Coturnix japonica: one gene and its partners. The main gene of each other region encodes a partner of the protein of the gene in region 2 in a complex. Links are inferred from orthologs where the notes say so. Each region holds a gene or a part of one and is shown on either strand. Other genes may lie near its edges.

Evidence for each region. Proteins that work in one complex are often made in the same cells at the same time.
Region 1: PRPF6 (region 2) and LSM4 share a complex: the UniProt entries of both Homo sapiens proteins name them as parts of the U4/U6-U5 tri-snRNP complex. The link is inferred for Coturnix japonica from reciprocal best matches to the Homo sapiens genes PRPF6 and LSM4.
Region 3: PRPF6 (region 2) and LSM3 share a complex: the UniProt entries of both Homo sapiens proteins name them as parts of the U4/U6-U5 tri-snRNP complex. The link is inferred for Coturnix japonica from reciprocal best matches to the Homo sapiens genes PRPF6 and LSM3.
Region 4: PRPF6 (region 2) and PRPF4 share a complex: the UniProt entries of both Homo sapiens proteins name them as parts of the U4/U6-U5 tri-snRNP complex. The link is inferred for Coturnix japonica from reciprocal best matches to the Homo sapiens genes PRPF6 and PRPF4.

What each region holds. Positions count from the first base shown.
Region 1 is NC_029543.1:3,004,961-3,011,071, forward strand, and holds the start of LSM4 (U6 snRNA-associated Sm-like protein LSm4), read left to right. Parts: upstream 1-2,226; 5' UTR 2,227-2,341; coding exon 2,342-2,344; intron 2,345-2,468; coding exon 2,469-2,510; intron 2,511-2,638; coding exon 2,639-2,737; intron 2,738-4,885; coding exon 4,886-5,069; intron 5,070-6,111. Other genes in the region: PGPEP1 (pyroglutamyl-peptidase 1), read right to left, coding at 453-505, 1,919-1,952. UniProt on the Homo sapiens protein: Plays a role in pre-mRNA splicing as component of the U4/U6-U5 tri-snRNP complex that is involved in spliceosome assembly, and as component of the precatalytic spliceosome (spliceosome B complex).
Region 2 is NC_029535.1:8,470,555-8,476,155, forward strand, and holds part of PRPF6 (pre-mRNA-processing factor 6), read right to left. Parts: intron 5,271-5,601; coding exon 5,151-5,270; intron 4,460-5,150; coding exon 4,283-4,459; intron 3,422-4,282; coding exon 3,288-3,421; intron 2,840-3,287; coding exon 2,748-2,839; intron 832-2,747; coding exon 717-831; intron 1-716. UniProt on the Homo sapiens protein: Involved in pre-mRNA splicing as component of the U4/U6-U5 tri-snRNP complex, one of the building blocks of the spliceosome.
Region 3 is NC_029527.1:8,366,274-8,372,487, reverse strand, and holds LSM3 (U6 snRNA-associated Sm-like protein LSm3), read right to left. Parts: upstream 3,835-6,214; 5' UTR 3,758-3,834; coding exon 3,737-3,757; intron 3,448-3,736; coding exon 3,337-3,447; intron 2,381-3,336; coding exon 2,285-2,380; intron 1,975-2,284; coding exon 1,894-1,974; 3' UTR 1,586-1,893; downstream 1-1,585. Other genes in the region: XPC (DNA repair protein complementing XP-C cells), read left to right, coding at 3,835-3,949, 4,149-4,347, 5,225-5,358, 5,637-5,760, 5,855-5,939. UniProt on the Homo sapiens protein: Plays a role in pre-mRNA splicing as component of the U4/U6-U5 tri-snRNP complex that is involved in spliceosome assembly, and as component of the precatalytic spliceosome (spliceosome B complex).
Region 4 is NC_029532.1:809,312-814,454, reverse strand, and holds the end of PRPF4 (U4/U6 small nuclear ribonucleoprotein Prp4), read left to right. Parts: intron 1-333; coding exon 334-428; intron 429-725; coding exon 726-784; intron 785-1,199; coding exon 1,200-1,323; intron 1,324-1,939; coding exon 1,940-2,029; intron 2,030-2,526; coding exon 2,527-2,649; intron 2,650-2,787; coding exon 2,788-2,895; intron 2,896-2,972; coding exon 2,973-3,091; intron 3,092-3,269; coding exon 3,270-3,463; 3' UTR 3,464-3,558; downstream 3,559-5,143. Other genes in the region: WDR31 (WD repeat-containing protein 31), read right to left, coding at 4,670-4,830, 4,921-5,083. UniProt on the Homo sapiens protein: Plays a role in pre-mRNA splicing as component of the U4/U6-U5 tri-snRNP complex that is involved in spliceosome assembly, and as component of the precatalytic spliceosome (spliceosome B complex).

The DNA of each region.
Region 1 (6,111 bases), on a different chromosome or scaffold from region 2:
CCCCATTACAGATGAGAGGGATTAAAGGTCAACCTGCTCACCAGGCTGCAGCTGAGAGAAAAAACATACAAATTCCTTTTGGTTTATTTATTTGGAATTCCCTCTGCTAAGTGGGGGAGAAAGACAGCGGGCTCCGTGCACCATTTCACTGCTCTGAAATGCAAGGAGTCAGCCTAGGGATTCCTTATTCGCCTTTGCTATATGAACCCAACCTCACTAAGTTCTACCAGCAAAGGGATTGCTGAACAAAACATAACCAAGCTGAGTGCCTGCATACAGGGCGAGATGACCTCAGTGGATGCAGCAGACTTAGAGCCACAGCTGGAATGCATGCAGGGGGTGCAGGGGAGTGCAGGGGGGTGCAGGGGGTGCATGGGGATGCATGGGATGCATGGGATGCAGGGGATGGTGCTGCTCTAATGGATGCTCCAAGGATGAAGTGACAGCATTACCTGCACTGCAATCCAACTGGCATTGACAGCATGCTCTCCAAAGGGACCAAACCCTGCAAGAGAAGAAAAGCCCCCGGTGAGCAGCTGAGCCCTGCACCTTGGATTTAAACCCAAGAAGCACCAAGTGCAGCTGTTGATGTGCTCTGAAAGAAAAGCCACTGCTTGTAACACCCAGTCCCTACTGGGGGTGTATTGCTGACCAGGTTAGGAACACTTGTTAGCTATGGAGGAGCTGAGTGATGGCATAGAATGGGGATCATGATTGGATCTTCTAACCCTGATTGTAACAGCCCACAAACACAGACAAGTCTCCATCCAGCATTTCTCTGCTCACACCTTCACCAAAATCCCTTCTGCCTTAATAGGAACCAAACAAAGCACTGCTGACCCACCTGCACCGAGCACCAAAGGTTACACAACGCTATAAAAACACTTACGTCCCCAAATCTGCATTTCCTAATGAGTAACTCGGAGTTAACTAGTAACCCATCACATCTTTCCCTGAGCGAGCACACAAAGGTTGGGCATTTATCTGGGCGTGGGATCGATATGCTTTAATTTCAGATGGCAGAGCTACCCTGTGAGCCTAATGCAATCAGAAGGCACGCACTGCATCTAAGTCAGGACCACAAATATTACATGACACACTAATGGAAACCTCCCATGTGCTGCCAGCAGAAGGGGAGGGCTGAGGTTACACCGCACACAACAGCAACAGGGCTTTGTACAGCTCAATGGGATCTCAGTATCAACCTGAGCCTCCAAGCGGAACCAGCATCAATATCTCCCCATAATAACCCTCCTGAAGGCTCCCACAGGATCCTAATGCACTTGTTGTTTCTCCATATATAAGCTATAGATGTGAGAGCACCAAACAGGTGTTTCATTGGGATGGTTTCAATATGAATCACACCAGCTTTCCAGGTACCCCAATGTAACCAAAACCTCTCGTTCTGAACCCAACTGAGCTGCCCCCTCACTCATCCTCCACACCGACCCCCAGATCGATTCCTTGCATATCAGATGAGCAACTTTATGGGTAGCACCAAACCCAGCCTCAGCCACCCCACACCCAGCACAGGGTCCTGCCGGGCACACAGCACTGAGCCCACCCTGCAGACCTTCATGGGGTTGCAATGGGGTCTCAGTGCGACCATCAGGGGCAGATCCAGCACCATCAGCTCTGAATGTTTGAAGCAGAGACCACCCCCCAACCCCCCCGGGGCAAGAGATGGGACAAATACAGCGGGGACCGGGGGGGGGGGGTATAACCGGAGGGGTCTGTGACACGCCGCAGCCCCGTCGCGCCCCTCCCAATCCCCGTACACCCCCACCAGGACCCCGACACCCCCATGTGCCCCTCACCGCCCCCTCCCAATCCCGCATCCCCCCCGTTGAGATAATGGAATCAGAGCCCACCCTGCCGTCCCCTCCCCACCCCCCGGTCTCGTTCCATCCGCCCGTACCCGTTACCACCACCGCCCTCCGCGGTTTCTCCATCTCCGCTCCCGCACCGCACTGAGCGACCGGCCCCGCACGGTCATAGAGCGCGCTCCGCCCCGACGCCCAGAGCGGCCCCGCGCGGCCATAGAATACGCGCCGCCCCGAGGACCAGAGCGGCCCCGCGCGACCATAGAGTGCGCGCCGCCTCGCTGCCTAGAGCGCCTCCTGAGCGCCGCTCCGTGCCGCTTCCCGCTCGGCGTTTCAATTTACGGCACTGTCGTGACGCTGTGCACCGCCAACCTCGGCGATGCTTTACGGCCGAGGCGGGTCCTGCACGCTGATTGGCTCCGCGAGGACCGCGCCGAGCTCTGATTGGTCCCGTGTGGGGCCGGGGGTGGTTTGAGCGGCAGCGCCCGGCGCGGCGGCGGCTCCGCGGTTCCGGCACGATGGTGAGTGCGGGAATGGGCCGGGCCGGGCCGGTTCGGTTGTCCCGGTACTCCCTGAGCCCCTACATGGGGATCCGAGGCGGTCCCGGTTCCCGGTTGTTGAGGCCTTTCTCTCTTTCCCCCGCAGCTGCCCCTGTCGTTGCTGAAGACGGCGCAGAACCACCCTATGGTGAGTCCCGGCCCACTCCCGCTGCGGCCTATGGGCCCGGTGCCGCCCCGTCGGGTCCCGTTGGGTCCCCGTGCCGCCCCGTCGGTCCCGGTTCCTTCATGCTGACCCCCCCCCTTTGCTTCTTCCAGCTGGTGGAGCTGAAGAACGGCGAGACGTACAACGGGCACCTGGTGAGCTGCGACAACTGGATGAACATCAACCTGCGGGAGGTCATCTGCACCTCACGGGTAACCAGCTCAATGCCAGGACCCCCATTGCGCCCATAGACCCCCTACTTTGAACAGCATCAAAGCAGATCAGGAATGAGTTGTCCCCATTGCGCCCATAGACCCCCCCCATTGCGCCCATAGACCCCCCATTGCGCCCATAGACCCCACATTGCTATCAGCCCCCAGCCCTGCAGCTGAGTGGGACTCGCAGAGATCCTCACCCTTCTGTGTGTGTTGCTTTTGCTTTGAATGTGAATGTAACGCAGTTATGAGGTGTAAGAAACGAATGAGCCCATTGACAGCAGGGTGAAGGTGCTCAGTGTGAAGGGCTGGTGACAGGTCCTGTCCCATTGCCCGCTCCATGCAGCCCCATCGAGCACAGTGCTGCCTTTCATCATCACCTGCCTCACGCCCTGTAACTCCACATCAAAAGTTATTAGGGCCTCTTGTTTAACCGGGTTGTGCCTCGTCTGCTACTTTTGCCCATGGCCAAAGTGCTCCGAGAAGAGATTGGGATCTGTGCTTTGAGCTCTGACCTCAGCCTCAAGTGTCTGGTCTTGTCCCTGGCAGCCTGTGCCTGGCCACGTTCCTGCTGCTGCTGCTGCTCTCTGTGCCTGGGAACATCACGGGTCTGTGGGGGAGGCTGTCAGGGAAACCCTTCTTCTTCAGGAAGGGTTTCTGTGCCTGTTGGACCCACAGCAGGAAGGTATTGGCCAATAGTGCTGGGGCACGGAGATGTGATGTGTGTACTTAAACAAAGCAAAGGTTTAAGAAGGATCATAACAGCAGAGCAGTGAGCCCTAAAAATCTGGATCCACAGATTGTTGGGGCAGATAAACAGATAAGTTCAATGGGAAGGGGTGGCAAGTGGCAAAGCCTTACTAGTGCTTGCAGAACAAGGGATGCCGGCCTTTAATACTGCTTCCTCATTAAGCAGCTTTGTGTTGCTGTGGGCAGAGCACTTCAGCATTTATACCCACCGAGTGGTCTGCAGTTCACTCCCCACCCCTAAATACCCCCTGGGTGCTACTGGGGGGGTATATATGGAAGCCTTCCTGGTGGCACGGTGGGGATCAGCCACTAGATGGCATGGAGCTGCGGCAGCTGTTTACATGGGGAGCTGGAACGAGGAAGCCGGGGACCTGGCTCCATCCCTTCCTGCATAGAGAGCCAAAGTGCAGCCGGGCGGATCCAGGCAGGGTGGGGTTTGCTGGGTGCCTGTTTGAAGAAGGCTGCTTGTCTCACACACACGGAACTTGCCTGTGCATGCTGCATTGCCCCAAATAACACCGGAGCAGAGGAGGAGGGGGGTACAACTTGATTCTGGAGAGGTGAAACGAGGCATTCTGGTTTCACCCACTCCTCTGGGATGTTGTGGACACTCTGTCCATGTGTGATAGTTGTGAGGAGCCTGTGTTCAGCCAAGCCCTGCAGCAGAGCACGGCCGTGCGCACGAGGTTCCATCCCTCCTCCCGCTTACATCAGTTGTTGTTCAACTTTCACATGCAGTTCCTATTCCCACAGCCACAGGAGCTGAAGCCCTGATGGGCTGTGTCCTAGCAAAGCCCTGAAACTGCCTTAAACAAAACACAGAGGCAGCTGCTCCGTAACTTGGCACCCGAAGGTTTCTTTGAACGTGATCTGTAAGCTCTTATTTTCCACAGCCGCGGTTCCTGTGCGCTGCTGGGCTCACCCCACACCCAGCTGGATGCTCCTCGCTGCTCAATCCACACCACAAAGGGGTTCAGTTTGTAGGTGACTCTGGTTGGGGCTTTATGTGCTGGAACTGCCCCGTGTTGCAGCAGCTGTGTTGAACTTACCACATTTCCCTCTCCAGTCCCACTTTCGATTCTCTTCTTGTATGAGAAGCAAAGGGAAGGTGCTGTTTCCTCTTCTTCCTTCACTTTCTGTGAGAGTCAAAGGCGGTTGTGAACGGGCTGAAACTGCAGTGGCTCATGGCTGAACGCCCCCTGACTCCCCAGCAGGTTGTAGGGCTGCGTGTTTTAAAGGGAAAACAGGAATTTCACAGCTAATTATGGGTTGTACATTCAGAATAGACTATTACATCTGTCGCACGCTTCAGAAGTGATGGAGATATTCAAGTGTCAAAAAGCAACTTAAGTGCACGTGGTTTTGTTCTCAGCTTAACACGTTGCTTCCCAATAGGATGGTGACAAGTTCTGGAGGATGCCAGAGTGTTACATCCGTGGCAGCACAATTAAATACCTTCGGATCCCCGATGAGATAATTGACATGGTGAAAGAAGAGGTGGTCTCCAAAGGCAGAGGCCGTGGTGGGATGCAACAGCAGAAGCAGCAGAAAGGCCGCGGTGTTGGAGGTGCTGGACGAGGTAACGATCCTTTTTGCTTTTCAGTTCAGAGAGGGGGTGACTGGGATTCCTGCCTTTAAATTCCACCTCTTGTGCAAGGAAGGGATGATGCTTCTCAGTTTTGAACCCAGAGCTGTTGGTCTATGAGAAGCTGGAGCTGCTCCTGTGCAAGATCGAGTTGAGTGAGTGTTGTCTGGCTTCTAAGTCAGCCTCTGCCAAAGAGCAGAAAGGAGACGTGCCAGGGATGAGCCTCGTTCCTGGGCTGGGCAGGAGCTTAAGGGAGTCTCTGAAGCTGTCTGGTTCTGCCCCTCCTGGCTGGTTACAGAACACGGCCCCACCAAACTTCTGGTGTCTGTTGGCTTTGCAGATGTGGGAGGGAAACAAGTGGCTGTTCTGTTTGAAATTGGACTTGAATTTGACCATCCCAGTGGTAGGAAAAGATCTTTTTCTCCCATTAGGATGGGATTTCTCATCAGGATGGGATTTCTCATCTTGTGCTCTGCTCCTTTCTTCTTTTTTAACATCAGATATCTGAAGGTTTGTTTTCCTCCTGTTCCAAATGAATATTTCATGTTTCTGATAAAAGGTTCCCACTTACATAGAAAGAGGTCAACCCTGCTCCGCCTTCCCCGTCCCATTTCTCGTGGTTGGGTTATCTTGGACTACTTCAGCCTGGGGAAATATCTGCCCTTTGTGAGCACAGTCCTGCTGGATGCCTGAGAAGCATTTCTCTCTCGTGCTCACACCTCCTGCCACGTCTTGACAATTCACTTTGTGGTCACTGTGCTCAGCCCCAGGGATTCTCAGTTCAGCCTGCAGTAGGAGCTTAAATGCCAGGCAAACTGCCTTGCTACAACAAAACTGAGTTCAACTCAGGAGATCCGGGGCTTAAAAGGAACTCCAGGTCTCCACGGAGTGCCCTTAATGAGCAGTGTGTGCTGTGAGTACGTGAGGGATGGATGGGAGGGACCTGGGGACACACCAAGAGCTGCATCCACAGCTCCCAAAGGCTGCAGGAGGAAAATCCCTCTGCGACGGCTGCTCCCTTTGCTGCCTCCCAACA
Region 2 (5,601 bases):
TGGTGTGAGTCAATTCTAATAATAGTTCCTCATCACTGGAAACCTCACAACTTGATCTAGAGAAGCAGACAATTCCTAGTAGACTCTCTTCCTGTTCTAGTGAAGCAAACTAGAGTGTGACTTGTAGTCTGCATTCCAGGAAGGGTCACCGCTGAAAGAAAACTGACATAGCAGAAATTTGTGCATGGAGAAAACAAACAGCACAAAGTAGCTTAAGATTAGAAGTATCTGACAATAGAGAGAAATAGATGAAGAGATGAATAGAGAGAAAAGATGAAGAGTACAGCATCAGACACTTAAAATGCAAACATCAACCAGCAGAAATGGTCCATGTTTTCAAAAATACTTAAAACGTATCCTGTAAAACCAAAGTAAGCCTATCTGAAAGCATGCTAAAATTCCATCTGAGGGGCACCAAGATGGTTTTCAAACCCAGCAGTAGAAAAGGACTCAATGTGAACATATTACTGTCCATGCTGCACTCCCAAACCCACCAGGAGAGCCTGAGGGCAGGCTGACATCCCTTGTTCTGAATCAAGGTAGAGCAGCAGATTTGCAGTTACTAGGAGACAGCTTGAGAGCTGCTACTTGCTCTGAGGCTCATTAGAGCTGCTGCAGCCAGCATCACGTGGTCGTGCTCAAGTGCAATGTCTCATCAGGGATGCAGCTACACACACCAAAATGAGTGTCTTTACTACATCAGGACGGGAACTTACTTGGCCACAGCCAACAGAACGTGTGGGTCGTGCTCACACTTCTTCAGGGCATCCACACTCTTGGTCTTCCGTTGTGGTCGCGCTTCAAGGAAAATTGCCTCTGACCACAGGATTCCTTAATCAAGTGAAGTAGAAAGATTTAGTGTGAATCAGAGATTAATCCTCCCCATCATCAGGCCAGCGCTCTATGAAGTGAGCAGCACTACTGTGCCCACCCCAGAAGTTATCCCTGCACCTCCACCTTGTCTCAAATCGCTCTTTCATCATGGATGCTTCATTCAATACTCTGAAATTTAGCAAAGGACCCTCAGTTCTGAATGTTTCTGTACCACAACAGCAGTGTGCACGAGCACAGAGCTTAAGCCTTTCCAATTAGACACCGCACACAGCAGAGGGGAACTCAGAAGCAGCAACAAGCTGGTCTGAATGGAAAGCTACAGTGGCAGGTGAAGTCCCACAAGGTGTAAAGTACACCACTTGGGAGCAGTTTCAAAGGTGCCAAAGAACACCACAGTATTATTGATGCTGGCTCTCCACACATATGACGAAGGACACGGTAGGGCCAGGAAAGCTGGGTTTAATCCCTAGTTCCTTTCACTGCCAAAAGCAAGAAAGGAAACATGCTCAGAGGAGCATGAAATCTTCAGTTTCTAACGCCAGTCAACCATACCTGTTGATCACTTCAAGGCAAAGCCTGAAAGCTTGGGTCTGCCAGGACTCTATCAAAGCACTCTCACTTCCCATAAACTGCACATGGGAATTAACACACTCAGATGACAGCAGTGACAGACTGCAGCAGAACTCTAGATTTGCTCTTTACATAGAGTCAAACCATTCTCACAGACCTCTATTTTCAGTCCTGCTGAGGACACAAACACTGATGTATTTCAGTTCATGATTTTATCCTTTGTGCCATCTATGTCAGCCACAAGCAATGGTAATCAGATCAGCAACTGATGGACGCGGGTCAGGTTTACACAATTGTAGGTGTCTAACAAACTCAATCCTGCAGGTTTTTCTTCCTGGTTTGTAAACTTTTAAGAGTTGGGAGTTATTTTATTTAAACAGAATCTGAGATCTTACTGCCTATTTCTATAGCAACAGGCAGAATCTGCAGAAGAGCCTGAGGTGGCAAACACAACAAGTGTTAGGTCCTTCATAAAATAAAGCTGGTATTACTTTGTTGGCCCACTCACAAAGCAAGCAGCTTGCAGTGAGTTGATCAAGCCATAAAAGTCACTTAACTCCCATTACTTCACTGGGGTGACTTAAGCAGTCATCAACTAAATACCTTTCAAAACCAGCCTGAAGGCAAACTAAAAAGACTTGCCCTGTGGTAGGTTACCACACTTTCTACTGAAGTGACATCTCTCCAAAGATGTCAACACGTTCAAAGAATTAAAGCCTTCCCACAATTCTGTCAAAAAGGAAAAAAAAGAAAGGAAACTTCCATTTTCTCCTCCCATCCCAAGAGGCAAATGTTTCCACTGCTGGTTAGAACCAACCAACTTCGTTAAGGAAAGGCAAATAGAGCTTATATGATGAGCTAAAATAATCAAAACCCATTAGTAGTGCAATCAGTGTGGGCAAACCAACAACAGGAAGTCTCCTATGGTCAATTATACCCCAATGAGACAGGGGAAAAAACATCCTTTTTCCACCAAACTCCCTAATTACAAAAGCTTGAGAGTCTTTCTTCAGTTTTAAACCTTGGCACAGACTTCTACCAGCCTCAGAGAAAAGCCACCCATGTCCATGATTATTTTGCATGAAACCTCTTGACAAACTGTGGACCACAAAATCGATGATGCCAACACCAACCCATGTTCCCTTCAGTGTGAAGCACTACAAAGTAACCAGGATCATTCACAAAGCCCCCCCCAACCCTCCCTTTGCAGGAGAATGGCTGTCACTTCTCTAAAATGCATTATTCTGAGACATGGCCAGAAAGGCCATCTTGGATAAAGATAATCCTTTACTAACTGAGCAAACACATAACCAGGTTTAAGATCAAAATGACACCCAGCTCACCTGAATTAGGGCATTCTTGCAAGGCCTTGGCCATCAGAGTATTTGCAATGTTCTTCAGCCCAGCTCTGTACTCCAGTCGCACAGACTCTAACCTGGTAATAAAGAAACCCAGTGATGATATTTATTGTAACACATTCACTCTGTAACACAAATCAACTCTGAGTCACATGAAAGTCACTGGAAATTACAAACATGCCCATATGAACACATGCACCTTACTGACTTCTTCCCATTCCTCCCCATTAAAAAACACATTTTGCAATGGCCTAGTCCATTTCTCATATCATTTTTAACCTATGATAGAAACAAAAGACCCCTTGATTTTCATGTTCTCTACACTGCAACTATCTGTAAAGAAACAACAGGTCCCCAGCTCCTCAGAGTAGCCACACAGCAGCCAGAATCTCCAGAGCCCTTCTTCAGAAGAAGTGCTAGGATAGGTGTGCTCATAAGTTCTGTGATCAAATAACTGAGGTGTGAGATACCTCATGCATGCATCGATCTTGCAGCTCAAACTAAGTTCACGTCTACACAACTCACCAGAGATCCGCATTCTTTGGATTCTTTAGGCGAGACTTTTCCAAGATAGCCCTTGCTCTGGTCAACTGTCCCACCTTCTCTTCCAGTCTGGACAGCAAAAGCCACAGAGGGATGGAATGGGGACACTTTTTCAGCTGTTTAATATGATAACAAAAGGTACGGTTACTATGCAGATCTGAAAACATTATAACCCCCATAGAAAAGGAATCCCTTCCTTGAATCTTTCTGAGGAGTTCAGAAGTGAGATAAGTGACCACATCTCTCAGATTTCTCCTAGTTAATCATATAGCACTAAAACAGTAGAAATCTAGTTTCTCCTATAACCAAAACACCAAGAACACCACTATGACTAAACTTCCTCAATGCCAAGCAAAAAGAAAGAATACACCTCCCTTAACAGTACATCTATGACCTGTGCTCCATCTAGAGATGGAGAGCTCTAATAAATAACAAAATCACACCTGCAGAGTACGCAGGAAACGCATTGCCCTTGAAGCTCACAAAGTCATTAGGATACAGACACCGGCAGAAACCTGCTTCCCTATTACTTGCAGGGCAGATGAGTTTCAGGAGCATTCCTACAGGACGCCAATTACCATTTAGAAGACACATGAGTACTCAGCAGACAATCTCCTTTTACAGTGTTTACCTAACCTTATTAGCAGGGTCTTCTGTTAAGAAGTTCTGCTGTTTAGTCGTTGCAGGTCTTAGAGAATTATTGTGTAATGACTTCATTCCTGCTAGTGAGTAGTCAAGCATACAGCAAACTCTCTCAAGCAAGAAAGCGAATTCTGCACACACACACCAGCTAAGAGATAAATTCTCACTGCTTATTTCAACACCCTAATAATTTTCTCTTACTGTTTTAACCAATGACAGGGAGAGAAATCACCTCCACTGTTAATATGGGACAGAGCCCTCTCCATCCTGATTTGAAGACAGACATCTGTCCATATCACAAGCACAAAGCAAGCTTACAATAACATGCATCTTACCCCTTGATTGTAAGCCTCCCTTGCTTTCTCTACCAGCTCCTTTTGTTCCTCGATTTGTCCTTTCATCATCCACAGTTTGGGAAAGTCCTCATAGTGTTTCAGGGCTTCCTCACAAAGCTCCTGTGCCGCAGCAATGTTTCCCAGCACCCATTCCAACTTCACAGACTTCATGAAGACCTGACAAAGAGACGGAGCCGTTTATCACTGGGGAAGAAACAAAAGCAACAAAAACAAGAACTCTGCCAATGCAGTGGGTTCCCATGTCTGTGCATACATTGGGAAGTTATTCATGAGCCTTAGTTTGGAGCAGAAGGCTCCATGACTGACAGGAGAAGAGGACAATCTAAAAGGTCCAAATCTCCACACAGCAAACCAGGTTTTTTCCTCTTACTTGGTCAAATCGAAACGATTCTGTATGCACAGCTAAATATTGACAACATTTATCACAGCAGAAGTAACCGTAGAGATAAACACAAGACTGTAACTTTAAATAAATCCGATGAGCACCGTCTTTAGCACAGCATAATTGAGTCTTCTGCAAAAAATATTTTCACTCTCTCTTCTCCAAGACACGCTTTTATGCAACATGAACATTATACAAACAGCTGTAAACTGGGAATTTCCTGACTTTTGCCATTTGTGTGAAAAAATGTGAAACCCTTCACTTGATCCCAGCCTCTGTTCCCATCATGCTGCAACCGAGTGTTGCAATTTGCTGGAGAAGTGCTACGGTGCCTGCAAAAGGCAATGGCAGGGAGCCATCTGGTCAATCACTTGAGGCCACAGAACTGAAGGAGCTCCTGCTTACGACTCAGCTCCCCCATTGCTATGAGAAGCCTTGGCCTCTCCACCCTTCACACATCCCTACCCTTGCAGTGGGGGCACTGCTGCGAGCTTTTGCCAGCAGCCTCCTCGCTCTTTCATATTCATTGTTTTCCGACTCGAGCTTGACGGCAGCCAGCCAGATCTCCTCGCTGTTGGGGTTGGCCTGCAAGAACACAAAATGACAGACAAATGCATACAGTGAATCAACAGCAGATTTAATCCTTCGTTTGATCCAGATTAAAATTGAAGTCAGAGCTCTGTCAATCCACATTAGGACTTCTTTTCCCATTCAAGCTCCTCCCAAACTTCTTTGACCTTTGAAGTTCATAGAAATTCTACGAAACAGATGCGCAACACAAAGATGTGTTTCAGTTGAAAAGTTGGACGTCTCTCAACTGTTGAAAAGCGTTAATGCTTGATCTCCTGAACTCGCAGTTTAACTACTGCAAAAATCAGAGAGTCTGTCACAGTGAGACCCTCACTTCATTATCTCT
Region 3 (6,214 bases), on a different chromosome or scaffold from region 2:
AGTTTCACAATGCAAGACACACACTGTTCTACTTAACCCTTCTGTGGGCTTACTCTGTGTCTGCACAAACATCCAGACAAACTTTTGACTTATGAACGAGCAGCAGAGTTAATTTAAAACTGTCAGCAAGTGCCATCCTAATTAAAAACAAATGACTAATTGCACAACTACAGGGCCTGTCGACACAGGCTACATACATCAACATCAAGCAAAGCAAACCCAGCTTAAATTTGAGGACACACCACCACCTAGTGTCCTATGTGAGTTAAACTCAAAACTGCATTCTACAATGACTCCATGGAGGAATTCAACAGGTTGTTTCCTAGATCCACCAATCCCTGCACAGATGGCAAACATGTGGATCACACGTAACAGCTGTATTTAGCCCTAATAACTTAAATCAGGGGTAGTATAATGAGAGATGCCTACTTACAAGACTAATACAAAACCCACTCTTCATTCAAGTATTAGTTTTAAGTTGCACAGAATTTCTTCTGCACACAAGGCACCTACATATGAAAATAGCCCCATGAACAGCTTTAAGGTAAAAAATTCTTGCAAACATTCTAACTTTCTAGAATGCAGTGCAAGAAATACACATGTGATAAGATATTTAAAAGGCTGTGTTCACTACTAACACTAATTATCAGCAACAGCTTTGGGTATCACTCCTTTGAGCTATCCCAATGCTAGAGAGCAGTTGTGAGAACAAAGGACACCTAGAGACCAGAGTTTGAAGGGTATCTATTTTATTGCCAAAACAAGTTATTACTTTTAAAAAAAAAAAAAAGTTACCACCTTGCATTTTTCACCCTTGCCACAAACTAGACATGGTAAGATAGGAAGATTTTAACTGGAGGACAGTGTCAAAGCAAGCTGCTTTTGATGACTGAATACGCGTAAGAACCCAGGCAAGTTCATAAAGCTGTGTGTTAAGGTATGTCAAGAAATGCCCAAGTCTATGTCTATAATATGCCTTTCAAATATACTCGTAAAACATTCCATAGCCATTCCAAGTAAAACATTCATTCCCCTTCCAGCCCCACCATGAGAATAAAGTGCAATCAGGAAGGCCTGAGAAACTATGTATTAAAAAAAGCAGTGTACAAGGCTCTTGTGCACCCACTGATAACCAGGAAGCATCTTTGGTTTTCTACAGAATTTAATGTGTTCAAGAACTGAAAATGGCTACAAATGGTGGCAAATGAATGCATAAATCAGGCTACTAAATTTGTTTCCTACTGATGGTATTGCTAAGCTTTGCTCTGCTAACAAAGCTGCAAGAGAAGCATCTGAAAAAGCTGTAAAAATTCTATTCTATCAATGCATTTTAAGCAGGACACAGAATTTCTCTCCTACAAGGATATGTTTACATAAAACCATAGATTAGTACACCATAGACCAACACAGTGTTGCCCTCCTCCAAAACATCAATCTGGAAAACTTCAGTATGGACAAAAATCAAAACACCAAACAAGTCACTGCTTTCTCAGGAAGCAAAGCCACATTATCACAACTTAATACAGCATTAGCACTAGAGAAGTTCATTAAAATCACCTTTTCAACAAAAACATAACACATCAAATCTGAAAGGTAAACCAAATTTATTTAAAACAAACAAAAAAAGACACTGCTATTCCCAAGATTGAAAAAACAGGGTGCTTTTACTTATGTCACACACAGCTCATTTACAGCAGTTACATTAATTCAGGGGAAAATGAGGTTTTCACACTGCTTCAGCTGACAGGTACTTTCTGCAAGAAAAACTCATTCCTCTTCCACAAAAAATAGGCAAAAACGTTCTATTAAAAAGTGTATGCAATTCTGAGACATGATCAAAACAAATCGTCCAAGAGCCTGAAACCTTCCAAGAAGGTTCAATCCTTGGTTGCTTCAGCCAACCCTCAGCGGGGGAGCTACAAGCACAACGCCGTCACCTCTGACAAAGAGCATCGGAATATTCCTTTTGGTAGACTATGAAGAAGCAAAGAAAAGATTACATTTACAAAAGAGAAGTATACAGAACACATCTACTAAGCATGTGACAAAATTCAATCCTAAAAAAACACCAACAAACATCAGCTCAAACATGCAACTTCGCGTCCTGCTGAAGATATCAAAATCAACAAGCACCTGGATGTCCTTTGTGCTTTCATAACAATTTGCCTAAAACACCTGCTAGATCCTAGTCCAAAAGGTGCAGTTATCAACACATTATTTTGACAACATGACAATCTAGATTGCAAGAAGTTTTCTATGGAGGTAAATACACTGAAGTCCTTACTTTATAAATCTCTTCGTATGTTTCTTCGTCAATCTCTATTGTTGTTACAGTTTCTTCCACATCGCCCAGAATCATATTTAAGTGCTGATCATATGCCTGTAGGAACAAAGTTCATTACTTCTTCCAAAATTCAAGCACAAGCTCATTAAATCCATAATTCTAGCAAGACACTCAAACAAAATTATTTTAACCTGATTTGGGTCAAGATGTTCCATGTGTGAACATGATGTATCAGCTGTAACTTCAACTATAAAGGCCAACATCAGTACTCCACAGCATAAGGAAGGCTCTTATACTCACTGAAACTCTCCTTCTGAAGCTCATGCACAAACTCTCAGAGGTGGACACACTTGTTCTTGTCGTTAGCATTAATCCAACTAAATATTATTTGCTATCAGCCCAGATTTCTGGGATTGGATTATCTATAGCTATGAGAGCTGTAACTCAAACAACAATACATAAATTTTAATTAAGCACTTGTTCCAAACACCCTACAAAGGGAACTTAGGAATTATACCAGTGCATCACAGATCTGTCCTCACCTTTTTGTTCTCAAATGTATTTGAGGCCCAGTTACCACATGGGAAACTGGTTCCCTTCCTCAGCACAGCACCACATTCCAGAAGGATAACACAACCAAACAGAAAACAAAAGTTTGTCTCACTAAGAGACATCGCTCTCAAAAGAAAACAAAGAACAAATCAAGTATGGAGAGAACCCAGCTGAGTACACATCCCAGCAGTCCTTGGGTTTGCTCTACAAGACAGTTGCTTGATATACTTATTTCCATCTTAACAGAGTCGAGAGTCCTTTATGAGATGATGCCTGCATTATTACTTAGTCCACAGACATGGGAATAAAAGCAAAAATCAAGAGAACGAATCACTTGGAATCATTTAAAAGACAACAGACACGGAAAAACAAAATGCACCTTTTGAATCTCTGGCAGAACACTGCACAAACCAAGCGCTGCTGTTGAGCACATTACAGTAACATAACAAATAGTTGCACATAACAGCACAGCCTGCTGCCTGCTTGGAATTGGCACTCACATGCAGCCTGCCTCTGAGCTCTCTGTCATTCCTCATCTTCACATAGATCCTCTCATCCAGACTGAGCCTGATGAGGTCGAGGGGCTCCTCGACGGTATTCGTTGTCTGTTGCTGAAAACAACACCGAAACAAGCAGTTATTCACGCAGGAGCAGTGAATACGAACTCCTCCACTCCTCAGTTTGCATTCTGAAACGCTCCCTCAAGTCCCAGTATCCACACAGAAGCAGACAGGCTGCATGGCTCAAACCAACACGGCAGCACGGCATATGGCAAAGGGAAGGCACACGGATGTGCCACCAACCCACCAGCTCTCTCTTCAGGCCCTCACCACCTCACTTGGCAGCCGGGGTGGCCGCAGAAACACCGCTCCCCCCTAAGAAAAGTAAAGAGCCATTCACCTGATCCACCTCGTCCGCCATCTTTCAAACCGCTTCTCGCTCTCTCTCGTGATACTTTATGGCCCGGCCTCTTCCCCCCGCTCTGAAGGGGCGGGGTAATGCTCGCCGCTATGGCGAGGAAGCGCAAAGCGTCGGTTCAGCGGGTGTCTGCCGGCAAAAGGCGGCCTGGAGGGGTGGGAGTACGGCGGGATGGTGCGGAGGAACGTGAGGAGGGTGAGTGTGGGAGGCTCGGCTTCTGGGGCTGCTCTGCTTTGAGGGAGGGAGGCAGTCAGCATGGAGCTCAGCAGCCCCCCATGATGGGCCGGGGCTGGAGTTGTTCAGTGCAGCTCTGCTGGAGCCTGCAGAGATATTGCTATGTATCCATAGGGATGAGGTTATATCCATGAAGAAAATTTCTTTCTTTTCGATGTAGGTGATTTTGTTGAAGAAAAACACAGTGTAAAGAAGAGCAGAGCCGGAGTTGCAGCTAGGAAGAAGGAGGAAGACAGTGATGCTGGAATTGCTAAGTTAGCAGAGAAGCCTTCAAAACAAAAAGGGGTAAAAGGGCGAGTGAAAGAAAATGAGAGAGACCCTGAAAATAAAGGGGATGATCACGAAGAGGAAAAGTGCAGGTAAGCTTAGCTGTTGTTCATCATGATGCGCTCTGTACCTCACTGTGGGTTGGATGTTGTGGTTGTTGTGGGTTGGATGTTGTGGTTGTTGTGGGTTGGATGTTGTGGTTGTTGTGTAGGGTCCATTGCCCTACAATGTTCACATAAAGGGGTTACGTTAAGCTGGCAGGCCAGTTTAGTTTGTCTGTGACACACAGCTGTACAGAAGTACTGCCTGGCTGATGGCAGGATCTGTCTGAGGAAGGCAGTCTGCATGGGAAGCAAATATCTGAGCCTTTTCAAATCAATATCGTAATTGTAAGATAGCGTTTCATTTATTTCTACACAAGACTAGGGAGGTTTTATGGCATCGAGCATGAACAGAAACATTGCTGTGAGATATATGGTCTTCCTGTAGAGATTTCAAGGGGGATTGTATTAATGAGAAGAATGAAGCTGCTTGGTCTCATTTCACTGGCCAACCAAATCATTGGGTGTTAGCGTAGTGAAACACAAGCACTTCCAATCCCAGTGCATTATGAGGTCTCAGTAAAGACAAATGATTCAATGAAGACATTCATACAAGCTGTTAGGAAAGATGGGTCATTGTTTTTAGGTTCAGTCATCTTCATTCAAACAACCTGTTAGAACCAGGACCTGTGTCTGCACTGAAACGTTGTTGTTCAACGAGCCTGTAATTATTCATGGCAAAGACTGCTCGCTTTACAGGCACACACACGGTTCAGTTGTCAAATACTTACAACCTTTACATCTGTTGTTACTGATGCAGAGATGATGCTTTGTTTATTTCCTCATTTTTGTTTTCATTCCCTTCCATTTTTAAATGAACAAACCCATGCACTTCCTGATGCTAAAACCATTCTTGTAATTTTAATAGTGACTCAGTGAAGGCCCCTCAGAAGGAGGTAAAGTTGAAGAGAGAATCTCCTATTAAAAAAGAGATGGATGAAGACAATACTGATGATGATGATGACGATGATGAAAGTGAAGATGAATGGGAGGACGTGGAAGGTAACAACTGCGTGTCTATTCTAGTTGTAAACATCCTTGTATGCAACAGGTCCTTTTTGAGCCATTCCTTGTTTTGTATACTTCTTATACTTAAGAGTATGCTTCATGTGCATATCTGGATTATAGGCTCTTATCTCGCAATACTTTGGAATAGTTCCAAAGTAGGAAAGAAACATACAACTGCTGTTTTGAAGGTAGTGCTTTGAATTTGACTATTTGTTGCTGTATTATTCATTGTTCATTCAATATCTAGTAACATTCTGTTTGTTTTTTCCCAGAACTCCAGGAGCCTCTTGTAGATAAGTTAGAAGAAGGTGCTGTTCTTCCTGAAGTTGTGCTGCCGAGCAATCCTGTTGAGATAGAGATTGAAACCCCGGAACAACTTATGAAGAGACAGAGAAGGTAAAAATGGAAGGTAGTAGAGAGCAGCTCAGGAATCTAGGAAGGCAGATAGACAGGAAGCCATAATATCCTTTTATTTTTTAATCTTATGCAGAGAGAAAAGGAAAGCTGAGTTTGAAACTTATGTTCGAAGAATGATTAAACGTTTCACTAAGGAAGTTCGTGAGGACACACATAAGGTACTGGTCAAAAAGAAAAGACTGTGCTTGAGATTTCTGAACTGATACGTAATGAAAAAGAAAGTAGGTTTTGAATAAAATAATTTGGGGCCGTGGCTAGAAGTGAAAAAATAACAATGTTGTATTCCTGACAGATGCTCATTGGCCTTCTCCTCATCTGTAACTTAGAAATGTCAGTCACTGAATTAGTAAACATTTAAATGAAAGCAGATTCAAGTAGGGTATATGTTTCTCTGTGGTGTGCATCTGCTTGTTCTACTTGGGTTAAACTGTCA
Region 4 (5,143 bases), on a different chromosome or scaffold from region 2:
CACATCCCTGTGTTGATTTGCCTCTTACCTTTGAAGCTAAACAGATTGCTTCTTTTCAGTCAAAGCTTGAGTTGCAAAGCAGGGCATCAGTATGATTGGTGGCAAGTATGGTGGGTGGCATACTGAGTGCTAAGCTGAGCCATGGAGCTGTGCTAGTTTCTCTTAGTCAGATAAACTCCATAATCCTCCTGCTTGGGGCTAGAGTAGCTCTGAGGTAACATCTCTCTTTGGAAGTGATTTCCCTGTGGTCTCTGACTTCTGCTTCAGTCACTGGCCAGGACTGTCCCTAAGTCATTTGTATTTATTCATTGTTTTCTCTGTATTTTGTTGCAGTCCTTGAATAACTTCTGTAGTCAGATTGGGGACGATCGCCCGCTGTCCTACTGCCACTTCAGTCCCAATTCCAAACTCTTGGCTACTGCCTGTTGGTAAGTTCTCTTCAAAGCATTTACTTTAGGGCATGGTGTCCAGTCTTTTGGCTTGCCTGGTCCGCACTGAGTGTTTCGTCTCTATAAACATTCAGGAATGTCGATGAATGTCAGCAGGTGCCATTTTGTCCTCAAGGAGGAATTCAGTGACACACCTTTTGCTCCATGTGTGTTTCCATGTCAGATGCTGTTTTGTCAGACTGCCACTTTCCCACTGCAGAAGCCCTTGGTGTAGTTTGTTTGATAAGCTGTTTGATGTTCCTGTCTACACTGACTTCTGTTTCTTGTGTTCAACAGGAGTGGACTGTGCAAGCTGTGGTCTGTGCCTGACTGTAACCTTGTTCACACCTTACGAGGTAAAGAATGACTTTCACTGATATCCTGTGTAATTCTTTTGTTCCTCTCTATGCTGAATTCCTGTGCCTGAACTGTTTTGTGACTGAAAATGTGTCAGATAGTCCAGAGAAAGTCCTGACCTTTCTCTTAAAGAAAAAAACAGAGTTTGTTGTTTCCATTTCTGGATGATGATTTATATTTTGCTTCACTTCAAAACCTGGTTTGAGTTATTTTGAGCCAAGTATTAACATTCTTGGTCAGACCACGTAGTACCAATGAGGTTCTCTGAACGTGGGCACAACTAAATACAAATCTCTTCACTCACATCTGGTGAATTTTCACTGTGTTTAGAAGGCTGCAAATCTCAGTGTTTGATATTCTTAAATGGGTGCCAGTGGAATTGTAATTTGGATTTTGATTTTCCTTTCTCTTAAGGACACAGCACCAACGTAGGAGCAATAGTCTTCCATCCCAAAGCCACTGTCTCCCTCGACAAGAAGGATGTTAACTTGGCCTCGTGTGCAGCTGATGGTTCTGTCAAACTCTGGAGCCTTGAAAGGTCAGAGTGGCATGTATAGATGCAGTGTTGTTGTTTGGGGTTTATCTTATGAAATAATGGACGTTTACTTTCCTCCTGGCAAACACAGCCTGTTATTGTAACACCAGTGCAATTCCCAGCCTCCTTGAGCAGAGAAAGACAGTTGTTTATTAGTCTCACGTGACCACATTTCTTTAGTCTGCTGCAAAGATATTCTCTGTACTGTTCTGCTCTTCCACTGCAGGCTGCTGCACATAGCTCTGGGAGAATAAATATTTGCTCTATCCTGCCTGCCCTGGCTTTCTTCAGCATAGCAGAGTTTGCTGCAGTATGGGATGTTCTGTGTAGTGACAGCAAAGACAGTTTTTGCTGTTGACGCTTTCAGATTAATGAAGGGCCTTGTCAGTTTTTGAAACTAATTGTTCCAGGAGAACTTACTGCTGAGGTTATGAATGTGGATAAAGGGCTTTCACTTAGAGCTTCAGCTGTGTGAGCAGAAAGCAGTGTTTAGAGTCAATAGTCAGAACACTGACTTTCTTGTCTGGCCTGCATTAAAGTCTGTCTCACTGTGGTCACAGCTGCAAAGGTTTGGCTTGAGTCAGCCACCCTGACCAGTGTCTGATCTTGTGTCTTTCAGTGACGAACCAGTGGCAGATATTGAAGGCCACAACATGCGAGTGGCACGTGTGATGTGGCACCCTTCCGGCAGGTTCCTGGGCACTACCTGGTAAGGGGATTCTGATGGGTTTTTTTTGCTTGTTTAAGATGCTATTACTTACAGTCACTGGGATTCATGAAAGCCTTCCTTTCCCTGCACCTCACGTGAGACCCAGTTGGACACAGTGGACAGGAGGTGGTCTGAGGAGGACAGTGGTGCTGAGGGAGAGGGGGACTGAACCGGAGCTAAACAGTACAAAGGTGATCTGAAAGTCCAGTTCCAGAAGCAGAAATGGTTGCTGCTGCTCAGGGGATTTCAAGTGCTAAGGGAGCAACACTTAAACTTTAAGGATGCTACACTGATGTGGAAGTGGGGAAGCTCCCTGCTCTCCCAGGAGCGTGCTGAGGATCTTTGCGTTTCTGAATTTATAGCTTCATTTCTGGCTGTGATTTCCTAATGCTCAATGGACCAGGCAGAGTGAATGTCCTGACAGCTGGTGTGTGTGTGCCCAGTTCAAATAGGATTATGTGATCAGATTTTAATGCTTTTTTTTCTTTGTTATAAAGTTACGATCACTCGTGGCGCCTGTGGGACTTGGAAGCCCAGGAAGAGATTCTCCATCAGGAGGGGCACAGCAAAGGGGTCTATGACATCGCCTTTCACACGGACGGGTCTCTTGCTGGGACGGGGTGAGTTTGTTTGCATCAGGACTGTATGAGAAACATTACCAAGATTTTGTTGCTCACTGATTCCAAAAGCCACAGTACTGGTGTTCTGTCAGCTGCTGAAGTCTGGAGGGTGATGCTGTTTGGGTTTTCTCTTCTCAGTGGACTGGATGCTTTTGGCCGCGTGTGGGATTTGCGCACCGGGCGCTGTATCATGTTTCTGGAAGGCCACCTGAAGGAGATCTATGGACTTAACTTCTCCCCAAATGGGTAAGACAGGAGCTTGCATGTGTTGTGTGGGAGCTCTGAGTACAAAGCTCAGCTTCCAACACATTCTTCCTTGGCAGATACCACGTTGCAACTGGCAGTGGTGACAATACTTGCAAGGTCTGGGACCTCCGGCAGAGAAAGTGCATCTACACCATTCCTGCCCATCAGAACCTGGTGACTGGGGTGAAATTTGAACGTAAGTATCTCCTGTCTGATGTTCCATGTTCCTGCTTTTTCTCTACTGAGGTGGCAGGGAATGGGGCAACTCAAAATCACATCCTTGGATCCGGAGGATCAGTAGTGAGTAGTGGTAGAAGATTTGTCATGTATTTATTTGCAAAACTAATTTCTCCCTTTTTTTCCCTCAACTGCAGCCAATCACGGTAACTTCCTGCTGACAGGCGCCTATGATAACACTGCCAAGATCTGGACTCACCCTGGCTGGTCCCCTCTGAAAACACTGGCTGGTCATGAGGGAAAGGTGATGGGACTGGACATCTCCCTCGATGGCCAGCTGATAGCAACGTGCTCCTATGACAGAACCTTCAAGTTGTGGACAGCAGAGTAGCTCAGAGGCACTGATGATGAACTGGGACAGAGACGATAATAATGGCTTAGAACTAAGAGCTGGGTTTTTGTATATTAAATTTTTTTAAAAGGAAAGGAATTGGCTGTTGCAACATGTATCGCAGTGGCTGTGCTCAGTAGCTCTTGGTTTCCTGGCTGAGGTGGTTTTGAAGCATCTGTGCTGACCAGGGCTTGGTTGGAGTCAAAGCTGGGATGATGTTCTTCCACTTTTTAGGACTTGTTTTGTATTGCAGATAGTGGTTTTCTGCAGTAATTTGGAGATGAACCACCTTCTTCCACCTCCCTTCCAAGACAGGCTCATGTGTTTGCTCTGGTCTGTTTCGCACTAGTGCAGGGCTCACACAGCACTTCATGTACTGTGTTGTACGTCCTCTGTTTTCTTACCTTGTTTTCCAGGATGCTTTAACAGCAGTCTTTGTCTTCTGAAAATAAAGCAGAGTTAGCTGTGAGAGGAGAGCGTACCACAGTTCCTCTGCAGGTTGGTCTCATAGAGGCCTGTATCTCCTTTGTTTCCACTTGCAGAGGATGTTTCAGTGCACATCTCATGTCCCGGCTCCTTCAGCTGTCTCACAAATTGGGTGTTTCTCCTGTTGAAGGTTTTGATGCGTCTCACCTGAGGTTGATGCAAAGAAAGCTGCTTCATTGTAGGGTCATCTTGTTATAACATCCACTTATTTGTTGTTTATTCTTTAAACTGAAGATATCAGATGTGTTCTAGAAAGTCAAAATGTGGCTTGAACGTGTGCACTTGCTTCTGGGTCTGACTAAGAAGTGGAAGGATTACATGGGTGTTGTGATACATGGTTTGATTTCTGTCTATCTTAAAATATCTTCAGGAGAAAAGAGAAAGCATTCATTGAACTTGAGCACACATAGCTGGATATTTAGGCTTACACAAGAGAACACAGCAATTAAACCCCTTTGTAGCCAGGTTTTGTGGGGGTTTTATGACTCAAGCCCACAGTACTCTTTCCGGAGTGAGAATTTGGCCTGAGTGCATCACTGGTTCAGCTTCTCTTCTAGCCAGCTCTAACTGCTTCCCACCACCCACAAGCAAATAGTGAGCGCCCCCTGTGCACCATCATCTGCATCACTGCCCTGCAGGCACGAGGTCACCCATTGCCTGCTGTCAGTGGACTTTGGGGATCAGATCCCCATGGGCAGTCTGCTGGGAAGGATCCTACGGTCAAAGTGTTGCCACCTCCTCCAGCTCCAGCTCCTCGAGGTGTCTCAGCTGCAGCACGTGGATCCCTGAGTGGAAGCTGGCACAGAGCAGCGTGGAGCCATCACAGGCAGCCAGCGAGGACAGCGGTCCGGCTCCCTCAAGACATGTGGTGGCCAGGCAGGCTGAGGAGGGAAGAGAAAAGTCACTCCAACACCAGGTGAGATGATCAGATTTCTATTTTTTATCCTATCCTGAATTAATGCCCTGCCTACCTCCAGTGTCCCGGTCCCAGACCTTCACTTTGCTGTCGTGTGAGGACGTGGCAATGCAGGGGGTGAGAGCAGGATCTCGTGGGAGGAAGACACATGAGGCCATGGTTTGCAGATGCCCTCTGTACTCACACACTCTGCTCCTGGTCTGCCGTAGGTCCCACAGCTGCAAGGCAACAAGCAGCACTCAGAGCTCGGGCTGTCACTGCCACCTGCCAGCACGGAG